Tribolium castaneum: one gene and its partners. The protein of the gene in region 2 interacts with the protein of the main gene of each other region in a biochemical or structural test. Links are inferred from orthologs where the notes say so. Each region holds a gene or a part of one and is shown on either strand. Other genes may lie near its edges. The genes, in order: Fs(2)Ket, nuclear pore glycoprotein p62 and probable nuclear transport factor 2.

Region 1 (3,762 bases), on a different chromosome or scaffold from region 2:
TCAGCTCTATCAAGGTTGGCATGGCTTGCTCCACCAATGGTTTAAGAGTGGTGTTATCTAACCCGCCAAGAATCGAGCCGAAAGCCATAAGCGACGCATCTCTAAATCGCCAATTCTCAGACTTTATGTTTTCTTTGATAAAAGGTAAAACGTGTGGAACAACTTCGTTTTCGCAGCATGTGGCCAAAAGCATTAAACAAACGCCGGCAGCTTTGCTCGGGTTCCAGTCGTCTTCGTCATCGAGCTCTTCTTGCTTCGTTAGTTTTTGCAGAAGGATGGGTACGATAAATTGGAGCGCACCTTTGGCGTAGTGGCGTGATACTCTGGAAGAAATATTCGCTTAACTGACTGACGGTTGAGTCAGCGTAACAGGACAATGAATAATCTCCGTTCTAATAATAGGCTTGTTGACTTAACACTTATCTATTTTTTGATGTTTCAAACGCAAATTGTGAAAATCAAATCAAAACAAGGCTTTTATCGATCATAAAAATACCAAACTAAAGTTAGCAACACAAAAGCATCGTTAGTTTAATTTGTGTTTATAAAAATCTGACTAGGTTTATGAAACTACTACTAATCTGATTCTTTTAATAGCATGGCAAAAGCCGTAAAAAGATTATTTATTCTTGTTAACATTTATTGTGGGAATTCTCTGACCGAAGTAAAAACAGAAAAACTTAGTTATCTAATGATATTTAACGATTAGCTGATTAAGTTACGAATTTATCATATCGCTCACAGACTGGATTTCACTTAAACGCATAAACAGGGAATTACAGTTTTTACTAATAGTCATTCCAGAAATGATGCTCTTACCTGGCTGGGGGCCGGCCTGCATCCGCTGCCTCATTGGCTTCGATGGACAAATCCACTTCTTCGTCGCTAACATTCGACCAAAATTCAATACCTTGAAGCGCCACGGCATCATTGTCAGATTTCATCGCTTCTAAAGTAATGGGAAAGAGAGCTTGGCCCATGTAGGGCTCCATATATTGATAATACAAAGACATAATTTTAACCAAACATTGCAACGCTGCAACTTTAATTTGCGTATCTGGCGACTGAGTGGCTTCGCACACCACCTCCATGATGAAATTCCTTTCAGTTGCCTTTTCGAAGTTAGCTTTAGTGAATTCGAGCGAATTTAACAACGCCTGCGTTGCCGCAAATCTGACATGATTGCTGGGCTCTGTGGAGCGCATTCCGTGGATGATCGCCGTGAGGATGTCGTTGGATTGGGTAACGAGCACGTCTGAGTCGATTTCCTGGCAGATGTAGCCGATGGTCTCCAGCGTTGCTTCTTTCTGCATTTCGGTGGAGTTTGGTTGGACTACGTTGTTCACTAGCGTGACGATCAGGTCGGGCCATTGGTGGTGCGGTAATTCGGTGACAGCGATGTAAGCCACGCATTGGGCCGCTGACGAAGGCCGGTTGGTCTCCGTGCCCAGGGCCCCTACGACCTGGAGAAAACGGTCGAAAAAAACACTAACAAAACCGGTATATAAACAATTACGTTTTTCTTGACGTAGTTGCGTATCTCCTCCGGTGCCGACAGCCATCTCTGTTGACATAACTGTTTGATGTTGGGATCTTTGGACGTGAGTTGGTTTTTCAGTTGGAGACCGGCGGCCATGCGAGCAACGGGACTGTTGCCCCCATGTCGCAAGATATCGGATAGAGTCTTGATAAATTCTAAGATATTAGCGGCGGCAGCTTGCTCAAGAAATGTTGATGCTTGCTCCAGTTCATTTTTATCTGGAAATCGTCAAATAGGCTGTGATTAACGGAAAATCACTGAGGATAATGACCTCGAAAAGTGTGAGGTTATGATGAAACTTTGCGAGCTTGAGGGCTTGAAAAGAGTTGCATTTTGGGAAAAAGAGCGACCGACGTTTCGACGCCGGTGCGGCGACATCGTCAGGTTTTTGGTTTAAGCCCTGACGGGGAGTTGCTTGGGAATTTCGTAAAATGTCAAAGCGGGTTGAAATTTATCGAAAAGGCGGAAATGAGGCGGGGTTGAGAGGAACGTGCTTTTTGATGATTAGGCATGCGATTATATGGCAGTGGTTAAAAAATGATGGCAACTTGTCAAATAGTCAAGTTTTGTACTTACCGGGAGAAACAGTTTTTTCTAGCACTTGTATAAGTCGGAGTGTTTCTTGATGCATTTTATTGTAGAATTACTGACTAATATTGTAAACTTAACGGTTTTAATTAATTGGTTCTTGCAATCAGCCGGCTAACACCACATGGACATGTAGGATGATTAAACTGGCAGGAAGGCTATATTCATACGCTGCTGCTAACGTATGAATGACGGTTCCTTATCGTTATTTCAAAACTACGGCCAATTTCAATCGTTGTTTACCCAAATTATATCAAACAGCGGTTCACACAGTTGTAACAATTTACTTGAAGCACTTTACGTTGTAAATTAACTTGTGATTTGTCACTAACGATAATAAACACTTATACTGTATTTCAGTGCGGAGACAAGATGACCGTTAAACCGATTTGCTTTGCGCGCATTTTCTTAATAGGTTTCTGTACAGTTTACAATGATTACTGCTTTTTTTGATAGATGTCGCAACCATTTATGTTTCTAAGCCAACTTTATAGTGCTTATTCAAAAATATAATATAGGATATTACATTGTTTTTAGTCCCATTTTACTGCAGCTGACGGTTTTTATGATAAACCAATTGTAAATATAACTTGAAAAACAATTTAATGAACTATTTTTCAGACTTTTGACTGTATATATCCCTTTAACGATTCTGTATAAAAATAGGATTCATTTTAAACATAATTGGCCACGCCTATCAATATTTAATTGACTAAAATAACAATATAAATAATTATTTTCTCATTTTTTTTTGACCTAAATTACTTCTCCTGCTCAACGTTTGATTACTATTCATTTTAGTCATAAAAAAAATTCAATTCAAATTATTATTATTATTATTATTATTATTATTATTATTATTATTATTATTATTATTATTATTATTATTATTATTATTATTATTATTATTATTATTATTATTATTATTATTATTATTATTATTATTATTATTATTATTATTATTATTATTATTATTATTATTATTATTATTATTATTATTATTATTGTTATTACTATTATTATTAAGATGTTTCATTTATTGCTATAGGGATGTTAAAAGTGGGTTTATTTTAAAATTAGGTAAAGTCGAGTACTTTCTTCCTGGTGAGCAAAACAAGTTTAGAGCAGAGTGTAATGCATTGTTTCTTGGGTGTTTTGCGAGCACTTTGTGTTATTTTGAACGCACTTAGCTGCACAAACCTGATGGTATCTTGCATACTGTGAATTTATATTTAACATGTTGCGTAGACACATGCATTTCCATTAAAAAAGAAACCACCTGATCGAAGAAAAGGTGAAGGCTTTAGGGAGTAATTAATTGTGGTCATTAATAAAATCTGTAGAAATATGTGGCTTGAGTGTAAGTAACTTCGTAAATATGGGTTTTACAGTGTCCACCACCTTTAATTGCCTTAATAAAACCAATTTAAAAGTCATAACATTCGCCTTTAATATCCAATAAATAAGAGTATAAAGTTTTTCTTTGGACAAACAAACAACTTATGAGGACAGTCGTACACAATAAAGGATTTTTATGGGTATTTCGTAAACGACGAATTTTCAAAAAACGAGCTAAATTGCAATATAATTGCAACATAAATAAAATTGTTGGCGTGCTTGCAGTGGGTATAGGT
Region 2 (3,762 bases):
TCGGGTTTACGTCAACGCAGTGCAAACCCGGCACAGGTTTTCTGCCAACAATTAATACGAAAAAGGCCGTGACACTCGAACTGTGCCACGGAAACGACAAACAAGTCATATCACTGCCTGCGGATCGTCTGGATCAGAACAAGCGATACTACGTCACATTTACAGTCAAGGGGAATGAAGGAAGCCCCCCAGAGGAAGAAACAAAAAGCCACAGACATTCAAAAAGCGACTAAGTGCAATATCTTGTTAGATTTATTGTTTGATATGAGAAATTTGTACAAGGCGTTATTGTATAGAGGAAATTTTAATAAAAACGTTTTTCTTGTAAGTCTCATGTAACTGTGTAATCTGTTCCAAATGAGAGCAAATCTGAGACGAGTTTCTATCAATCCACTGGAGCGAATTCATGTGGGCATTTAGAATGCGACTGACTTGAATGACCTACAACATACACACATGATAGGATAGTGAGTCGAAACAAAAATGTGGCCAAGAGTGCTGTGAAGTAGGCAGAGCAGTCTTGACAACATTTGTTGACACAAACCGGATCAGTAATATCTTCATTTTTGTTAGACTCGTTCAAATGTTCCACAATTTCTTTCAAATCCTCGGACATTTGCTTCAATTGGGAGTCAATTATTTCAGACAATTGATACCTAAAACACCCACAGAATGTCGAATATTTTACTGTAATAAACAATTACGTTTGGAATCTATTCTGATCCGTGACTGGAATATCAGTTAATTGTTTCTCTAGAGGAAGACTCAACTCATCTAATTCATTATCTTGAGCTAATACGAAATCAAGCTCTTGGTCTAGTTGTTTCTGCTGCTGTTTCACACGCTCAATTGTTTCATTCAAGGCCAATATTTTATCAGTGTTTGAAACCAACAGGTTATCCCAAGCGTTCAGCTGTTTTGTTTGATTAATGAAGAATTTTCCTTGTTCTTCCAAGTCTATAGTCCATTTGTTGATACAGTCCTCTAGCTGAGCATAGGTTAAGGTACCAGAAGTTGGCAGACTTGCTGCTGTTGTGGTGGTCACAGCTGGCGCTCTTAAAAATTATACGAAACATATCAAAAGTGCTGTAAAAATTTCCCGGACGTATGTTCATAAACTCTTATATTTAATGAAATATCAAAACTACAATATAATACAAATCAGGAACCAGGTGGAGCATTGTCAACGCTGATTTTAAGTTTGTTAAAAAAAAAGATTTCAAATATTTTAATCAATATTTTACGCAAGATATGGTTCAAAATTTGATAAATTCGACATACAATAATAAAACGGTACGAATTAAACGCACAGTAAAAATAATAATGTCTAAGTATGCAACTCGCATATGCTCGTTGTATAACGACAGCCCTCGAACTTTAACCTAGTGTGTTCGCACTCGTATTATATGATCAAAATCGAATTTATTAATAATCTTTTTATTAGTACCCTTAATAAAATACTAGTCAAGACATACTTTAACTAAACTTTCACAGTACTCTTGATATATGTTATTATAAACTGTGACACGCATTTGCGCGGGTTAAAAGTATTTATAATTAGAGTACATACTGTGTAGTAGCTGTAAGCCCCCCTAGGCCTAAACCAGAGGCTGATGTTGTTGTTGTGCTTGAAGGGGTTAGGGTTGTGGTTAGTTTCAAAGGTGCGGAAGTTGCAGCGCTGCTTGCCAACGAAAAACCTAAATTTAAATCGTGTAAAGACTACAAAACCCTAATTTTTTTAAACCTGAAGATAGGGATGTCCCTGTGGACAAAATAGGAGTAAACGAAGTGGCAGCGGTGGTAGTGGTTGAAGCACTTGTCCCTAGACTGAACTGCGGCGTAGTCGTCGAAGTCGCAGCTAAAGTTGACTAATTATTACATAAATTTAACAAAAAAGGGTTACTAACGAGTTATTGTAAAGCTGGGAGTTGAGGTTGCGCTTGTTGTTGTTAAGCCGAAACTTACTGACGCTGTTGTTTTGGGGGTTGTACCCAGGAAAAACCCGGTACTGGTCGTAGGAGTACCGAATAGATTTGTTAGTGGTTTGTTAGGGGTTTGCTGTTTGGTATCGCCTGCACCGCCCGTAGCTGTGGTGGCTGTGTAATAAAAGGGTTAGTTGCGTTTTGGTTAGCAAAATGTCTTACGTACTGGCAATTGTGCTAGTGGTAGGTAATGTGAAACCTGTAGCCGTTTTAGGGGCACCGAAATTGAAAGACATTTTCAGAAAATTAGTTAGCTTCAAGTAGCTTCACAAAATTTATAGGTTAGCTTGACGTTAAATTTTAAAACGATGGTGGCGGCACTAGTGGCGATTGAGGGAAAGATGGATTTTTTAACCATGGCCTCATAAAATTTAGGAAGGAGGAAAATTAAGTTTCAAATTATAATCATAAGTGTCCGTTGGCGTTTCTAGTGTCATAAGCTTCCATATTCCACTTTTTTATAACAGAAGGTTTTATCTTTATTTTTGTTACCCGTAAGTAAAGTCAAAATTGTATAAAAAAAACAAAAAAAAAACAAAAAAAGTGGAGAGAATTAAATTTTCTCTAAAAAGATCCGAAAAGCCAAATTTTTATCTTTAATAATAAGTTTAAATTGTTTTAAAGTGCAAATTATTTTCCATCACTCAAACATTCAAACCATTAAAGATGATTCCGCAAACTTTTTTGTGAGAAATTTTAATCTTCTATAACTTTTTAATTTTTATATCTTAAACCCTATAGACCGCCTTTCAAAAAAATATAGGACGAAGGATAATTTAAATTTTTGTCATTACTATTTTAGTTGGTAGTTTTTCTCAGACTATTAAGAGATTAATATATTAAGATTATTAAGATGCTTACGAATCAAATTAAACAATTTGAAAAGGGGAAGATCTACAGTGTCTCAAATCGCTCTCATTTAAACTCCACCCTAAATTGGTGAGTTACAGTGGAACTCGGTTATAACGAACACTCAAGGGACTTCAGAATTTGTTTGTTATGTATTATACCCGATCGTTTGTTTTATCCGAACATCGTCGTTTATAGAATAGTTTTCAAGTCAACTGAATTCTAAACGTGAAACAGATACACGAAATAAAGTATTAATTTAATTTATTAGAAAAGCATATTTATCTACATTCATCTATGTTTAATAGTTATCTAACAATTCAATAATTTTTAGTTTCGTATCCTAAATTTAAAGATTTCTAATTACTTGGTCTGTTTATGTGCCTGCTGGAATGTCGCTGTAAGTGCATGTAAGTGCTGTAAGTGCATGTGCGTACGTTATAACTTATAACTTATAACCGAGTCCTAGACCACTTTTTTGTCTAAATTTCGAACGTTAAAAGTGAAGTTCATATATTCACTATAACCGAACTAATTTGTTATTGTAGTGTATTAAGTACTGTACCTATATAGAAAAGGCTGAGTGAGGTAGGGGGAAGCAAGTAGGAGAATGACGAACGGGCACTCTTGCTTGTCCCGTCGTGGTGTTAGGAGTGAATAAACAATTATTTGGGGAAAGTGGTATTTTATTTAAAAAATATTACAGTTATTATAATATAAATATAGGGCTTTAAAATATGAGTTTCCATTTCTTCGTTAAGTTGCTTCCACACCAAAGCTGATTTGGTGTGGACATGCCGCTCGGCCATAAGTTACATGCCACCGTTACACGTAAAAAAAGCCGATCATGCCGATTAAGCTTGCCAATCGGACTTGCCGATCGTCATAGTGTGGACGCAGCTTTAAATACCGGGTTCGTTATAATCGTGTT
Region 3 (2,475 bases), on a different chromosome or scaffold from region 2:
TTTGAAACACACGCTGGAGCTAAAGCCGGGCTTTGAACCGGCGCAAAATGCACTTAAGGAGATGGAGACGATGCCGACTGCCAGCATACATGTCTACACACTTGTTATAATTATTTGCCTGGTAATTTAATTTGGCGCTTTTGACGATTTTTTCGCACAATGACAGAACAGTGCATCTCCAGAAACAATGACTAGATTACGTTTCTGTGTATTTTCTATTATGATCATGTGCGTTTCTGTTTATGCACAATTCTGAGTTACTAGAGTTTTGCAGACTTTACAAAATATTTGAATAATTGTCAGAATGAGAGGTTGGTTTGAGTGGAATAAGTTGGCAACAAACCAAAAAAATGCTAATCGTGTTTTTAGGGTGTTGCCAACTTGATTTCGCAAACCATGGGTCACTTTGACCGAGCTTTTTTCCAGGTTTTAGGTGTTTTGTTGGTGATTTTATCGTCTGTGGATAATATGGGCGAGGGTGAGTATGCAGAAGTGAAGACGCAACGGCATTTTAACAAGGCAATGGCGATGAGGAGTTTGAAGGGGTTTGGGGGATCACAGAAGCGCGCAAAGAGGATTCTTGCCTAGTGTTGTACCTGGATTGTGATTAATAAATTGTCTGAAAGTTTATAAAATATTTTATTTTAATGATGAAGCAATGGTAAAACAAGTAGTGGTTTAAGCGGTGTCGTGGATTCCCAATCTGAAAATATCATGTTGGACAAAAAATGAGTTTCCTAAAGGTTTTAAAACGAATACTTGGGAAAATGCGTGCGGGGGGTCTTCGTCGGCCTGAAAATCCGAAAACACCAATCAAAAACCTATCAAAATCATGGCTTTCTTGATTAGAGAAAGGCACGTTACCATAGTTACGAAATTAAACAAACGAACGTAACCATGGTAATTGTCGTTATCAAGGAAGCTGCGGAGAGCATGCAAGAAACAACTGGCAGTGAAAGCAACACGAATACGTACTGCCTCTTTGACTAAATAGTGTCATGAAGGACAAGTCGGAATATATCATGTTGAATAAAAAAACTCCCTTCTATTGGTTTCAAGACGAAAGTTTGAAGATACGCATGAGGCATGTCTTCATCAGTCTATCAAAATGCTATGTTCAGGTCTCCAGGAAGTGCGAAAGGGGGCTTACCTGTAATCTACCTAAAACGTTGATTAGCACCCCGCCGTCGAACATCGGCTGCGAGTCGACCGCTGTGATAATTCGATTAATTTTTTTAAATGATAAACTCTGCAACGAGAACTTGACCAATCTGCTGGAACGCAAAAAGCGCAGACTCACCGTTAATTTTTCCATTATTTTCACAGATCCCTGCAATTGGACGCCTTCGAACGTCATGAACGAGCTCTCGATCTGCGGAAACAACGCAATTAGGGGGCTTACAGGCGCCCAAGCTCACTCACATTGTACATGTTTGCCAAAGTAGGCCTCTGGTTCGGGTCGTCGAAAAGGGCGTAGTACTGCTGGACGAACCCTTTTCCTATCGCTTCGTACTGGGGATTTAACGCCATCGTCGAGAAAAGAGCCGAATTCTCGCAATTATGGCAATTTTAAGCCGGATTGATATAACCCCACTCAACCGTCGGCTGGCGAATGTCAAAATGGGCGCCACGAACGAAAGCGCAAAAGGGCGAACGTTTAAACCGAAATTGTATTTTTTCCCAAAACCCCACATCCACAATCAATCAATTTTTAATCGCCTAACCACCCTGGTGTTCCATTTGGCACCTCAGATGTTTTTTCCGTGAGATAAATATAAAAATAGCCAAAATCATGCAACATCAACTCAAACGTGCAAATGGACGAAATTATTTTTTTTAACTTATTACTTTGTAGTTGTGTTAATAATCAATTGATCAGTTACTTAGTTTTGAATCAATTACACTCGAATATCAATTGAAATTTACCAATAGGCCTCAAATAAATACTTTACCCAAATAACTAAACCACAAAACGTCTAACTTTAAGTGAGGTTTTGTTGCAAAATTTATTAATAAAAAACCGATAATACCATGTCTTAATTAATAGACACGACGATTGGACCAGTTATTTGTACAATGACGCGCCGAGTCGTCGTGACGGGCATGGGGGTCCTGGCCCCCGTCGGCCTTAACCTCACTCAGGCCTGGGCGACCATAACTTCGGGCAAATCGGGCATTTCCCAGCTCGAGGGCCCCGCGTACGCCCCCTTGCCGTGCCGAATCGCCGGCTTGATCAAAGAAAAGGGGGCTCGAATCGACCTAACCTCCCGTTTCAAAAAAACCGAACTCAAATCAATGGGGGCTGCGACCGCTTACGCCCTCCTTGCCGCCCACGAGGCCTTGACCGATTCCGGCCTTGTGAGCCCCCCTGACAGTGTTAAGCTCCGGACAGGGGTCGCCGTCGGTATGGGGATGGTCGATTTGGAGGATATTTGCGCAACTAGTGACGCCCTCAAGCGGGGCTACAACCAAGTG

What was found.
Region 1: the proteins of nuclear pore glycoprotein p62 (region 2) and Fs(2)Ket form a complex in vitro, tested with the Homo sapiens proteins (2 studies listed by BioGRID). The link is inferred for Tribolium castaneum from reciprocal best matches to the Homo sapiens genes NUP62 and KPNB1.
Region 3: the proteins of nuclear pore glycoprotein p62 (region 2) and probable nuclear transport factor 2 form a complex in vitro, tested with the Homo sapiens proteins (3 studies listed by BioGRID). The link is inferred for Tribolium castaneum from reciprocal best matches to the Homo sapiens genes NUP62 and NUTF2.

Annotation. Positions count from the first base shown.
Region 1 is NC_087398.1:2,430,968-2,434,729, forward strand, and holds the start of Fs(2)Ket (importin subunit beta-1), read right to left. Parts: upstream 2,509-3,762; 5' UTR 2,172-2,508; coding exon 2,117-2,171; intron 1,759-2,116; coding exon 1,517-1,758; intron 1,464-1,516; coding exon 820-1,463; intron 324-819; coding exon 1-323.
Region 2 is NC_087396.1:18,041,026-18,044,787, forward strand, and holds nuclear pore glycoprotein p62, read right to left. Parts: upstream 2,321-3,762; 5' UTR 2,219-2,320; coding exon 2,149-2,218; intron 2,097-2,148; coding exon 1,908-2,096; intron 1,859-1,907; coding exon 1,745-1,858; intron 1,698-1,744; coding exon 1,571-1,697; intron 1,056-1,570; coding exon 705-1,055; intron 657-704; coding exon 545-656; intron 442-544; coding exon 286-441; 3' UTR 234-285; downstream 1-233. Other genes in the region: ankyrin repeat domain-containing protein 12, read left to right, coding at 1-233. UniProt on the Homo sapiens protein: Essential component of the nuclear pore complex. The N-terminal is probably involved in nucleocytoplasmic transport.
Region 3 is NC_087395.1:25,834,549-25,837,023, forward strand, and holds probable nuclear transport factor 2, read right to left. Parts: upstream 1,669-2,475; 5' UTR 1,531-1,668; coding exon 1,423-1,530; intron 1,373-1,422; coding exon 1,301-1,372; intron 1,250-1,300; coding exon 1,151-1,249; intron 1,101-1,150; coding exon 987-1,100; 3' UTR 976-986; intron 793-975; coding exon of another isoform or gene 679-792; 3' UTR 626-678; downstream 1-625. Other genes in the region: tetratricopeptide repeat protein 17, read left to right, coding at 1-121, 427-588; 3-oxoacyl-[acyl-carrier-protein] synthase, mitochondrial, read left to right, coding at 2,077-2,475. UniProt on the Homo sapiens protein: Mediates the import of GDP-bound RAN from the cytoplasm into the nucleus which is essential for the function of RAN in cargo receptor-mediated nucleocytoplasmic transport.